Lepisosteus oculatus: one gene and its partner. The protein of the gene in region 2 purifies or fractionates together with the protein of the main gene of each other region. This does not show direct contact. Links are inferred from orthologs where the notes say so. Each region holds a gene or a part of one and is shown on either strand. Other genes may lie near its edges.

Region 1 (7,774 bases), on a different chromosome or scaffold from region 2:
CCTTAATAGAGGCGTATTCGAAAAGAAATTATGACTTTTTTCATAATGCACCTATTTGTGTTTTTTAAATAATGTACATTCGATTTTTGTGCACCACCTAGTTATTTCTTGGAGTATTATTCAACTGCTTTTTCTACATCATAGTTTTTGACCTAATGTAAGAAAGTGTATCACTGTGTACTGAGCATCAAAAGAAATGTAACACTCCATATGTGTGTGTTTTCAGAAAATGCTACAAAGCAGAAGGTTATTTTCCTAATAATAACTTTGAGAATCTGTTGCAGTTGTTTCCTTTGAATCTCAGTACTCAGTACTATAAAAGCTGGCTATATTTTCATGGCCTTAACTGCTTAATTAATACTCACATGAAGGTATGATGAACTGTGGTTCAGTATTCCCAGCATAGCCAATCTTTGTGTATCTGTAGGTACAGAGCAGACTTAGTGTTAGTTTTATTTTTGTTTAAAACCCCTTTGAAAAACACAAAATATAGGCCTGCATTGAGTGAGACCCAAATATATAATTCTGCATTATTATTGCAAATGCCTGTTTGTCAAATTCAGTGATTTAAAGTGGTGCCAACAGAAAGCAATTTGTATTTCACAAGCACCTGTTCATCTGTTCATTGCATTGTCTGTGTTGTAAGCCTAAATGTGAGAAATACAAAAACCAATATCATATACTTTAATGGAAAGAAAATGTTGTAGTTCTTAGAGACAAAATGAACATCACTTGCATGACTAAACTCAAATTTGTAAGCAGCCTTGATCAATACGATGAAATGTACTAAAGAACATCAAAATTGAAACTTCTCCATTCCTCATCAATATATGTCATGATAATTACAAGTTTTCAGGTCTTTTTACATTTAAATACGGAGGCCTACCAATGCACTAACAAGATACTGTAGTGCAAATTTAACATTCTAATTCCCTTACGATACACTAACAACGTTAGGAAAATAATGCACCCATCTGAAAGTTTATGCAGTATCCAAAAATCTTGACCGATTATTCATTGCAACCAAAGATATACACAGATACAGTCTTTTAAAAATATGACATAACCAGCTACATAAAATATTTCTTTTGTTACAGACATGAGGTTTGAAAAGGATAATACATCAAAGGACATAGAGGTTAACATACTGTACAGTACATGTTTGATAAGTCCCCTTGCCACTGTCTAGAATCCCAAACTGCTACATCTACAGTAGTCAGCTTTCACAGTTGATTACAGCCTACTAATCAACACATTAAGATTGAGTAGTGACCGTGTTTTCCTCTCAGGGATGCACCGTTGGAGTTCTGAGGCTCTGAAGTTCCTACAACACCATTTGCATAGAATGGAGGAAAGATGAGGCTAAAACCACTGTAAACTCAAAGGCACCCAGATCGTCACTGTGGTCACTAATATGCTACAATAACCCAGCTGTCCCAAACCTACCAATCTCTGCAATACCTGGTGAATTGTGTTCCGCTTAAAGTTGTGACTTTAAGGAATCTCAGTCACAGCAAACTAATGATATGGCCCAGTCCATGACAAATGACACACCCATTTTAGAGACATTTCATCAACAGGGAAGCAGATTAGAAACCTGAATTTCATGTTTCCACTTTTTCATTTTGTATGGTAAATATTACCCATCCCTCCACGAAATCATAAATGAAAAGGGTAAAATCAGTTCTCAGCTAAATGCTGTGTTGAACTTTTAGAACATTTTATGTTACAAAAAAAAAGTACCAATCACTATTACAGAATCTGAGCCACGCACAGACTGTAAAATATCTTAATTTTGCAAAGAAAGGGGGCCATACAGTACAGTATATAGGCCTATCAACAGATGTGCATACGGTATTAAAAACACTAAACCTTTTATTTTGAATTTCATTTATTTGTGCCACTTTAGTTAAACCTGAACAAACAAAATATGACCACTATTATTGTGAGAAAAGCTGAGCCCAAGATTATATACAAAAGTACTACTTAAGTATTTCAGAGATATTTCATATTCAGAATTCATTTAGCAATATTTGGTGATTACTTTGCTTTAGATATATTATTTTTCTACCATTGTATACCAATTTAATTGTTGTTTAAATTTACAACTGCAGTACAAAAGTGTTAACATTTGTATGTGAATTATTTTACCCTCAGTATCATAGCTACCATACAATAATAGCTATTATTTATTTTCATATTTTACTTGGTATATAGAACAAGTTGATAATGTAATTCAAACCACAGGCAAGATTATCATATTATGATATATGCGTCCAAAAATAGCATTTATTCTTGTCTTTCCCTACAATGTGATAAATGTCAAGTTTAACTTTAACCTGTTAGCCTTGTAATCCACAGACCTTCTGTATAACGGAGTATCCATGGTTTGTAAAAAGCTAACACACTACTGTACACTATATGCATAATCGATTACTATCTACCATAAACGAGTGTCATTTCTATTCTACAGGTCCCCACTGTTAATTTAAGATAGTGTATTTGAAAACAAGCTTGACAACAATTTCATTATGACAAAACCTAGTTTTTACACAAGTAAAAAATTATTAAATATAATAAATCGTTTAATGACAGCAATCCGCACCTGTCATTAAACGACGTGCACCCGTGTAATGACACTATAATAACCAAAAGAAATGTCAGTGACCGTCATTTTAGACAACACTCATTAAGAAAACCTCAGTGTAAAACGTGTTTATGTAGTACGTGTGCCGTAGAGGTGTTTGTTCAATTTTAAGTATGTGCAATAAGTAAACTGATCATTAAAAAACAAAAATTAAATACAATCGCTAGCTCACCCAGTTCCACAGTCAATAACGCAAGGAGGTAAATGCACAGCCATTGCTTGGGTTAGACAAATATCCCTGTTTTACTGTAACATGAATAAATAACAAAATATGTATTTTGACTTCTAAATTAAGGAAACCGTACTACAGGACACTGCAATGCCAGATTACCCCCATGTACCGTTACTCCTCCGTAATGCTGACAGCATGAATACTTCCCGAGTCAAAGGTGGAAAACATGGAGTCGTTCCTGGATATTAATCCGAAACAAACAGGGAGAGCTGTCCCTATGGCAACGGGTATGGCCTGCTTGGGATCATGCTGTAGCTGCATAGACAATCAAACACGTTATTTCTTTTTAGTTCTAAAATTTTAATACCTAGCATCTATAAATCAGCTTCATATTGTTGTGAAAGAGTAGTACGTGCTTGGACCGTGACGTGTTTATTTGCTCCATGTGTTTAGTTCGTTTAGTTTTTCCGTGGCGATTTAGTTAATACTGTACATTGAACATTATGTACTTGGATGTCTGTAGGCATAGTTACAGTGCAATACTAAGAAGAAATGTTTAAATTGCAAAATACAGCACAGTCACGGCGTTTATAGTCACACAGTGAAGTTAAAAGTTTAGTTTCAAGATACAGTATGGGCAGGCACTAAGGGTGTAGGATTGCAAAAAAAAAAGCACATTGTTCAGAAAAGCTTTTCTTGTATCTTGTCAACAGCAGTGGGTGTCAGTCGACACGTATGATAAAACAATTTGTAAGTCAGATTGTCTAATGCTATTGGAATTGCAATTTTTAGGGGGTGACAACCGTGAGAAAATACTGTCGTTGTATTTTTATTTTATAATTTCCGCTTTTATTTGCACAGGCACTGAACAGGGCTTTATACAGTATGAGGTGCCTGCTATGAAAACAAGACACAGATTTATAATAGCAAAATTAGTGTTTGTTGTATAAGAGCAACTATTGTGTATGGAAAAAACAAAGATATGGGCTCAAAACAAAGATAATTCATTCAGACATGCCATTTTTAAAAGTGCTAAATGTAAAAAAAATCCATATAATTCAAAATGGGTGATTTCTGAGCCATCTAAGGTTTGCAGGCTTCTAACTAAATACTGTATGAACAAGTATGCAGATTTCAATGGTGCAAAGGGCTGGTGTATATTTTTTTACATTATTCATCTCCTGGAAAACTCAGGTTATGACAGGAGTTAATTTGAAATGTTGCTTACCTCACATGTGTTATTGTTTTATTGAACTTGGCACACTCACAGGATGTGAATGAGTAATATATTTAGTCTGTACTGTATTTTTTCAGGTCACAAAATTGGAAGCAATTAAATATATACAGAAGGTTTGGAGGTGGGTGAAGGATTACACCTTTCCCGCAACCCTGAACAGATATAACCATTGTAAATCTGAGAAGGAATTCATTTACATCTGTAGTCGTCTACATTTTTATTGTGTGTGAGAGATGTGGTGAAATTGTATGTCTTCTCATAAATTGAATTTCAAATACATTATCAGAAAATATAGTTGCCTTTTTTCTGGACAGACCATCCTATAATATAAAATATTTGGTCTTTCTTTGTTGGCTCTAAACGCTCCAGATATATATTTTTAATGAACCACAAGCTCATGACCTTTTGGAAAAATAAATCATATGTACATATTTCATATTTTTACATGTAAAAAATTTAACTTTTAAGTAAAACTGTGAATGGGTTTGCTAATTTTACCCAACTCAGCTCTACTTAAATCATTTATATAAGGCCCTTCCAAAAGTAAAAAAATAATAACAATGGCTTAAAGAAACCCATCAGCTTTATAGATTGACATTTACAGTATATTCCAGAGCTGAGGATCACAGAATCACACAATCAGCAGAATTTTCAGTCGTTTAATCTTGCCTGCCACAATGAATATAACAGTAAATTCATAACTAGCCAACACAAACCTCCCAAGCACATTGGTGCACACAGACTATTTGTGGCTGTAGGGATCAAGAATAATACAGCTTTCTCCTGTTATCTCCATATGCATTGCATTTTGGACTCCTAGGCTCTAAAATTTGGCTTCACCACTGACACTGACTGCCTATTTTCAACACTGTTGTTTAATTTGTTTTTATACAGCAATAGTTTAAGCTAAATTCTTCAATATTCAATGACAACTGTCATGATTCACCACTAGATGGGGATGCTACCAAAATTACTGTTGCAGAACCTATTCTTGCTGTATTAAAAAAGAAACATCTTAATATTAAAATTGGTATTGTAATCTGCAGTCTACACAAGACTTGTTATTAAATGACGTTTTAGTTTATTTTTATAACTACTGATTTTACTTGTAGGCTTTGGTTCTCCCTCGATGCTGTACAGTATATTGGATAAAGCAGTTAGAAAATCAATGGATGATTTGATACATGTAGAATTAAAATATTTTAATCTTAGGCCCTTCTGACAATTTTTTTTAAAGAATTGATCATATCATACTTTCATTATTGTTGTTTATATCAAAGTAATGGGTTAGTATTACAGTAGGTCCTGTCTGCTAAATCACACTGCACTTTGTTTGAGAAATGGGACAATTGTGCAGAACCTGTAATGTTCTTACATTTAAAGAATGGTCAGAAATGCTATTTACCTCAAAACTGCTCCTATGAAAACATTTGTCCAAAGTAACATAGGATAAACTACATCTACAAAATTCCAATGATTCATAACAGCTAAGTATTGAAGTAATGTATCATAATACAGTAAAATGTATCATGACATTAACCAGTAAATTAATTTTGTTTAAAAAAATCTCATTCAACTTTTATGAAATCGACAGATCCCAGTAGACCTCCTTTATAAAGACTCCTGAACAGAAAAAAAATTATAAATCCACTGAAACATCATGTCGATATCTGTTGTATGTCACTGGAAAGATTTATGCTTTTATATACCTTTCTTGTTATTGAACCACTTTAAAACGTGTCACTTTTTTTAAAAGATATGTTTTATCAGATGTTTAGTGACCCAATAAAGTATCCATGTTTTCTGTGTAACTGTTTTTGTTTCAATTCTCAAAACATCTTTATCACTCTCTTTCCCAGCCCCTGCCAAACAGGACTTTCAAGTAAAGACAAGTTCTGCAAAACACTAATATTTATAGTAGCTCTGAGAGCTAAAAATCCTGAATGGTTCATTAAAGTCTACAATTGAGTAAAAAAATTATCTGGTGCCCCATTATGAAACTTTCTTCAGATGTAAGATTAGCATGCAACCCATACACACTCAGATGCTTTTGAATTTCAAAACATTGGTGACTGATAAGTTAATAATTAATTAGTGCATTTTCCCTACCTGTATGTATATTATAATCAGAGAAGTTTGAAACATTATTATTGTATTATATTGCAGATACATATACAGTATATACAAACAACTTTGTTGGGCTCCTATGCTAAAACTCTTCTAACATTATAAAGGACATCACAGCATTTACATAGTAGGCAAGACAGGGTCAGATTCCTTTTAAGTTTTCTTATGTATGACTTTCCATGTTGGATAAAGCTGTACATACAGTATTTATACAGTACATACATGTTGTAGAAGGGCAATATTAACTGGATTACATTCCCCAGAAGTTTGCAAGGAATGACACTGCTGTCATCTGCCCCGCTGGTTAAATTAAACTGGTCTAGTGACAATTTAAGCATCGTAAAGTGGGAACTTGCATAGTTCCACATCTGCCATCACCAAACAGAGAATTTGCTGAATGTGCTGCATCAGTGTGAAAAGGGGTTAAACTAAAGAGACCAAGAAAACAAAAGAAACCAAAAATGAGTGGAAACTGATTCATGCCAGTAGACAGTGTAGCTAACCCACTTTCTAATTATACTGAGGGATTCAAAGAGATTTCGGTTAGTGCTCAGGTGAGCTTTGTTTTGTTTTATGTTTTGAATAACGTTCTTTCACACTATAAGTAAAGCGCACTATTTTACATTCACTATTGTTTCTGTGGGCAGTGTAATTGTGAAGTAGACAAGGTTATTTTAATGATTTTAATGATTTTACCACATTTACCACATTTTTCCGTGCTCGATCGTGGAGAATGTGAGCAGTATGTTGTGATCTTGAAAACCACACACTCTACAGACAAAAAGTGATAGTGCAAAGGAGTATTTTTTTCATCCCATAAATACTCAATAGAGCCATTACAGACTTCTAACGAACCTACAGAACTTCCACATCGACTGCTCTGTTGTACGCCTCAATTACCAGATCATTCGGCTTGGCATTAAATCACCTCATCACTTGTGCCTAATCAACCTTCTCACTAATGAAGTGATTTAGTGCTTAAAACAATCAAAGTCTCTCCAGTGTACCACAATCAATGAATCAAATTGAATGATCAATTAATCAAATTGACACCAAACACGTGTAATCAATATCCAAAACTTGCTAGTGGAGCTACTGCCCCTACATGTGTAACAACTCCACTTTGGTGCCCAAGCATTTCATGGGCTGCATTTGTGCTAAGTTTGACACACTTTGAACAATCGGTTCCGTTTCTATTAATGAAACTGTTTAATAACCTTTGGAGTTTCAAGTATTCACTTCTGTATTTTCTCTGCACTATTCACTTACTTTCATTGTGCTGTTCTGCATTTATCATTTTAATAATCTCTTCGTTCTTACCTGTACCAGATAAAAGCCACCAATCCATTTAAGCCTAACCATCACATTGCAAACTCAACTAATTAAGTTCACATTGAAGTCATGCAAAAGCACCACAGCACTAAATTCAGAGAATGATTTATAACACAAGGATGTTTGTCAAGCCAACTACATTATGAATAATAACATAACATTGGATATTATGTTGTATGTATGAAGTACACATGGTTATATTACTCTGGCAATATTATACACCCATCCATTTTCTGTTTCAAACTGTCCAATACAGGAT
Region 2 (6,872 bases):
CCAAAAGGAAGGAGTACTCCACAGTGCCCTGTGAAACAACTCTTGGTTTTTGTACCAGCAAATCCCTCTGTAAAGCAGAGCTGTCCCGAGTCTCCATTAAACGGTTTTCCTGGCAGTTAACACTCGAACAATGGAGCCCACACCACCAGCAGATAAAGCCTAGAACAGAAACAGGGAAATCTTAAGGTCAAGCTAACCTTTGGGAGTTAATACCGAAATCCAACCGGCTTTTCAGTTGAACCCCACAAGTACTTGTTAAACCTGTTGTTGTGAAAGAATTCATCATAAAGAGTTTCCGGAAAACGGATGTTCGGAAACAGAGGGAAACAGGTGAGACAACAGGTACTAACCTTTTCATGCCACTGCAGCAACACCGCGCTGCTGTTTTCTGAGGGATTCTCAAAGCCCTTGTAGATGTACTTCATGAGGAGATCCACTCCATTCTTATCCAAGGACTGGACGGCTTTCTCTATGTCGCCGGTCTTGAACGCGCTCAGCACTTTAAGAACCAGGCCTTCCGCCCGATCCTGGAGACAGCAGAATTAGGGATGAGGCTGCAACACTACCTCAGCCACAACGCCAACATGAACAAACACTGATTCATGACGAACTCATTTGATATAAAGTGCACGAGTGCCAAAACAAAATCGAACTGGGAAATGCGAGCCATTTTTGGTACGAAAAATACCAGTTTTGATAAAACCAAGGCAACTTGGTAAGAAACTGTAGTTATATCAGTGTTGGCAACCTTTTCTCTTAACTAGTTTCAATAACCTGACTAGGAATTTTCAAACAGAACATTATTGTCCCTTATTCTCTTATGCTTTAAAAGTTAAACTAATGGGCCTTCTCAAAGCAAATACAAGCAAAATACTTTCATGATCAAATTCTCAGGTCATAATGGTCAGGTCAGGGCATAATAACAAGAGGAGCCGCAAAAAATAAGAACTTGCCTTGACATTTTGGTTCTTTGTGTTGATTGGTGGGTTTTTAAGGACAGCTTGTAGGGCCCCCATCAGATTCCCTGTGCAGAAGGATGTGAAGGAAAAAATGCATGCACACAGCAGCAATACAATATCCCACCCTTAAAGATGTATAATATTTCCTAATGACAAATGTAAAAAAAACAATTACACACGTTTTACTGTTAACGCATCCAATAGAATTGTATATTACTCAGTTGTCATTTTCGTTACTGTGTTACGTTAAACTAGGTGCGTGGAAAATATCTTTTTCAACGACAAACATTTTTTATTTTTTTTTTCCCTGTTGGAAAGGAAAATAAAGGAGGAGGAGACTGTGAATACATTAATATGTGGAATGCACGCTTCTATGGTGTTCATTCAATTACTGTTGGCTTTACTTTCTGTAAAGACTAGGCCTCAGCTACACTTTTGCAAATCATAACTGAAGCGCAGAAACAGGAACTAGTGTGGTAGAGAAATTACTGACATATATGGCATTAACACAACTTCCCATCGTGACGTATCAGTATCGCTATAGCTACTGGGACAATTCTTATAAACCTGGCGATAACATTATTTAGTGTACTTAATGCCGCATCTTCTAAATTGGGCAATAATTTCTCGTGTTTTTTTTTCTTGAGAGAAAGTCACACTGCGCTGCTCCCTGGAATGCAAGAATAAAATACCTTCAGCACAGACAAGCCCAGACATACTAAATTGCAGTGCTGTGCACAGGAGTAAACCTCTTTTGTGCTGCAATAGCTATATACAGCAAATTGTACAACTCACTTCTCAATCAACTGCTGAAATATTTAATTATATTCCAAAAATGGGGGCAACTGTACAGGGTTTATTTTATCACTCATATTCACCACCTTCCAAAATGATCACTGAGGCATTTTTCGCTTCTTCAAAACCCGTACAAAACGATCCCTAATGAAATAATATCTGACCATGTCAAGAAGCTGTGAGCTCGCTTTCACCAAACTTATAATTAGTGGTGAAAGAGATTGTAATGACAAAGATACAGGTCTGAAGCCAGCCCATTCTGAAATTACAGACAGGTAAAGCAACTGTGTAATGATAAATACCGATGTACAGATCTCTACATTCGCATACCGCGTAAATGATTAAACTGCATTTACAAGACTCCCGTGTATCAGCAAACTACAGCCATATGAAGAAGAGACAAGAAAGTGTTATGTATCGGCTTGCGTGCACAGACCTCGCCCTCGGGGACATTTCACATTGTGCAAAAATTAAATTATTATTAAACATGGCCCATTTCTGCTGATAGACTCAAGTGGCAGTCGAGGTCATACTAACGTCGTTGAAACAATAAAATGTAATTGCAAATACGATTCTCGCTTTGAAACGACTCAACCACGACTTGCGTGCCATTCATTCCCCAATTTGGTTTGAAAGTCGTACTTTGCTTTCCGTTATTTCTACATCATCCCCCGCTTCCTACAGCTTTTTGCTCTTTTGTGCAGAACGTAGCAGATAGGACACCTCAGTAATACGGTGCCAAAACACACGTAGAAAAAGAACGTAAAGTTCACAATGACTAACTCCCACCACACCCATGAAATTGCAAATCGGTGTGAGCTGCAGACAACTGACGGTGCACCGATCAAATCATTCCTAACTTCACAGCATGATTAAAACAGAAATTTACATTTGTAACCCGTGCAGCCAATCTGATTATATTTACAGTAAAAAAAAAATAAAACCCTTTTTTAAAGGATATTGTCTAATTAAAGAGTCCACTTCCCCTTCGTCGGGACCCAGCTGATTCTCTCCACCATCCTCCTCGTCTACAAACTTGTTCTCGTCGTACTCGTCCACGTCTACCTTCCTGAAACGGTCGGACACGGTGTTTTTCGACATGGCGACTTGCGCTTCTTTGCAAAGTCTCAACTATCCTTCCACCCGCAGTGAAAACGCCGCACTAGCGTGAACGACAAACCCGGCCTTCAGCTGGTCTGATTTGGAGGAATCCTCACGGAGCTCCTGCTTCCTTCCTCTCAGTCAGCCATCCATTCACTTCCGCAATGCGGCGCCCTCTGCAGTTCTCTTAGGGAAGTGCACCACAGTACCTGAAACTGCTCAGAAGGTACAGTAGCAGCCAGTATCCCTCAAGCACGGAAGGCTGATTCCTAACTGATGATAAGTTTACAGGTTTTCCCGTCATTGCAAAGAGGTGTGAGCCTGGCCAGTACCTGGATGGGAGACCTCTTGGGAAAGCTAAGATTGCTCCTGGAAAAGGTGTTAGTGGGGCCAGTAAGGAGTGGTTACCCTGCGGCCTGTGTGAGTCCTATTATCCCAATATAGCAATTGGGACACTGTATTGGTTATTAAAAATCCCAGGGTGCTTTCAAAAAGCTTTTCCCCCCTTCCTCAACCATGGCCTCCTAATAATCCCCATCTATGAACCCGGTCCTTTATTCTGTTTCCTCCTCACTTGCTGGTGTGTGGTGAGCTTACTGGAGCACTAACGCTGCCATCACGTCAGGTGGGGCTACACATTGGTGGTGGTGGAGGGGATCCCCATTATCTGTGAAGTGCTTTGAGCGGAGTGTCCACAGAAGCACTGGATAAGTGGAAAGAATTATTATTATTTTAAATCATCAGAACAAAAGACAACAGTTCAGTGGGCCTCCAGGACTGGTGAACTGCTGTTTTAGGGTCGGTTTGCCCAACCCCTGGAAGTATAGAATACTGCAGGATTTACAGGTCTGTTTAAATTGGCAGCACTGTAGTACCTGGGAACTGCTCCAATTAAGATAATAGTTCAATTGTGTTAAACCGATCTTGAATGAAATCCCAGAATAGTTGCTCTCAATTCAGGCAAATTATAAATCTTACTGCCAGGATTCCCAATTCTGGTTGAGAAGGCCCAAACATCTGCTGGTTTTCACGCCAGCTGAGCTTAAGCCTTCCTGGATCTAAGAAACTGGTTGATTGGAACATTTGCAAGTATTTGTTTTTAACGAAAGAGCTTGGGATTTGATGAGGAAGTGCAATCGTTAAAAGGCTACCTCCAGTAGGTCGGACATCTGAATACAGTCACATCAAATTAATCCTTGTTATTAAAATTCAATGGTGTAACTGACAACTCGTCTTGAACAAAAACCGGCAGGTACTGTATATGGGTCTCTAGGATCTGGTTAGAGAATTCCATTACATATTCCACACATAAATACTAATATATGTGTTTTTCTAATAAGTTCCACTTGGTGTAGCTGTTGCTTAATAATACACGGACGCTTTAAAACTGCGCTATCTTTAAGGAAGTCATTCGACCTGAATCTGAACTTTATATGTATGTTGTCTGCTCACTTGTTGCATGCAATTATTTTAATTCACACGCTAGAGCAGATTTACTGGTGCTTTTGTGGGAAAAAACAGTCCCCGGATAATTAATATTAACAACAGGAACAAAACTGTAAAAAAAATTAAAAGTGCTAGCATAGAGTGAAACAAATTGCACTCTGACATTAAGATAGTAGCCTAACCCCCAGAAGATTTTATGAGTTAACATTGAATCGTCATACACTTGGAACAATCTCATTTTGACCACAGAAGCAAATAAAAGTGGATAATCAAGGGAAATATTGGGGTAAAACCCACTGAAGCAAAGCAGGTGTGAGTCTGGCCAGTAACTGAATGGAAGGCCTCCTGGGAAAACTGAGCTTGCAGCTGGAAGAGGTGTTAGTGGGGCCAGCAGGGAGTCTCACCCTGGTTTCTGTGTGGGTCCTAATGCCCCTGTAGTGATATTGTAAAAAAGGCACTCTCCTTCAGATGAGACATAATGTGTTATCCCAGGCATCCTAGCCAAATTTCCCTGGCCTTTGCCAAATCATGGCCACCTAATAATCCCCATCTATGAATTGTGAATCAATTCACTACTCTGCTCTCCTCCCTAATGATAGCTGATGTATGGAGTGAACTGGTGCACACTGGCTGCCATCGCATCATCCAGGTGGGGGCTACACATCAGTGGTGGTGGAGGGGAGTCCCCATTACCTGTAAAGTGCTTTGAGTGGAGTGTCCAGAAGCATAAGGAAGTGTTGTTAATTATTGTTATTATTATTTAAAGTATTCGAGATCACAAAAAAGTATGTCCACACCCTGTAGGTCTTAATATCTACTGGAATTAATTGAACAAATTGACTTGCTAAAACTGTAAGGTATGTAGAAATTAAGGATTAAAATGGTGACCTACAGTATGACCATGAGCTCAGGCTCGGTCTGCCTGGCTCTGATGCCTTCTTCCACTTTTTGTGGTCTATGAATCACAAGCATTTTGTTTATGCTGACGTTTTGCAACCAAACCTAAAAGAAGAAGTCTCTTCCTCCTTCTTTTTTAACATTTTTTTTTACCCTGAATGGAGGCATCTAAAACACAGCAAAAATACTACCAGAAAAAAAACACATTTCTTTGCGATTCTGTGTCACGCTTATGTCACACACTACAACAGGGCAAAAAAAAACGGATCCTTTTATAAAAGAAGTGGTGAAGTCCTTGAGTTAGTTTTGTACAGTGGAGCATAACTACAATCCTTCAGGGTCATAATTGAACTGTTAGCTTAATGGGGCCATTAACTCTTTTAAAAAGGTTCTTCATCCATTGATGTTTTAAAAAGACCTAGAAATCCTACTGGATTCTGGATTTTAGGACTGAAATCTTTAATTTGCAATCTACTGTATATACTGATGACTCATCTCAAGTACCAAGTGCCTTATTATGCTTCTCTTCTCTCACATGTGGAAGCTGAGTGACTGAAGAGCTTTCACCCACAACATGCAATTGTGTGAAGATTTTGAACATGAGTCTTATGCAAACCGCAATATTCAATCTTCCCAGTGTTAAGAAAAAGGTCTGAAGAAAATAACCTCAAACTACCATACACACATTTACAGAGCTTCTACCACATGTGTTGTTAAGCTTGTGGTTCAGTTTGCATATTTGTATGCAAACCTGGGCATACTGTAACTCCACTCTTTAGGAACAACAGTGTGCCTGTTTCCATGCACTGAACTTTGTATAATGAAACATTCTTTCCTGTTTATCACTGAGGAGCCTACAAGCAAAGGATAACATTTCACTAACATAAATTCTAAATAATCTCACCATAACCTCCATAAGCATCAAAATAAAGGAATTACTTTGTCTATGAAAGCATCTCTGTATCTATAAAATCAAAATCTTCAAAGAAATCTTTGATTTATGTGACTTTCAGCTGTAGGAAAAGCAGTATTTTTTTTGACAGAAGTAACATTACATCAGCACACGTGTTTTTTTAGATGACGTTTGTGCAGGAGAAACTGAAATACAGTACTACTTTCTCTTAGGATGTATTAATTGCAAATTAGAACGGACAGCACAAATCTTTAAAGGTAAAAATACCTTTACTTTTTTTAATTTTTGGATTAAACGTAATATGAAAATTAAATTAACAAAAAAAGAATAATACAGACAATGCAATGCAACGTTTAGCTACCAAATCAATGGCAGTTTTTTCGAACAGGATTTGTCCAAAAGAGTCCATTAAAAATTTTCTTTGTCGTGCGAACCGATTTTGGCTTTGAAATTTGAATTTACATACGACGAATCTACAAAATAAGGGTGAAGAATATGCAATAGCGATTGTTTCGTTTTCTATAGTGAAAAAAAACATGCAGCGAGCGGTGAGACTAGAGGAAAGATAATGCAGTGTCTGTGTCGGAGGCAGTTATCCAATAAAGCCCTTGTATACGGCGTCGAGTGAAGATTGTACCGAGACTCTGTGCAGTTGCACAACATTTGTAAGCAACTTAATAACGCCTTGCTTTTAGACATTAATGTTTTTGACACTCTGGATTGTTGACAATTTTGGTAATGGTTTTTAGGCAGTAAAATTA

Evidence for each region. The genes of interacting proteins can lie anywhere in the genome.
Region 1: the proteins of arpc5b (region 2) and actr3b purify together in Homo sapiens (affinity purification with mass spectrometry; 5 studies listed by BioGRID and IntAct, counting the BioPlex papers as one, with this or other methods). This does not show direct contact. The link is inferred for Lepisosteus oculatus from reciprocal best matches to the Homo sapiens genes ARPC5 and ACTR3B.

The regions. Positions count from the first base shown.
Region 1 is NC_090701.1:10,983,839-10,991,612, reverse strand, and holds the start of actr3b (actin-related protein 3B), read right to left. Parts: upstream 3,025-7,774; 5' UTR 2,864-3,024; coding exon 2,820-2,863; intron 422-2,819; coding exon 366-421; intron 1-365. UniProt on the Homo sapiens protein: Plays a role in the organization of the actin cytoskeleton.
Region 2 is NC_090704.1:8,352,241-8,359,112, forward strand, and holds the start of arpc5b (actin-related protein 2/3 complex subunit 5b), read right to left. Parts: upstream 3,017-6,872; 5' UTR 2,856-3,016; coding exon 2,715-2,855; intron 1,026-2,714; coding exon 954-1,025; intron 528-953; coding exon 351-527; intron 160-350; coding exon 97-159; 3' UTR 1-96. UniProt on the Homo sapiens protein: Component of the Arp2/3 complex, a multiprotein complex that mediates actin polymerization upon stimulation by nucleation-promoting factor (NPF).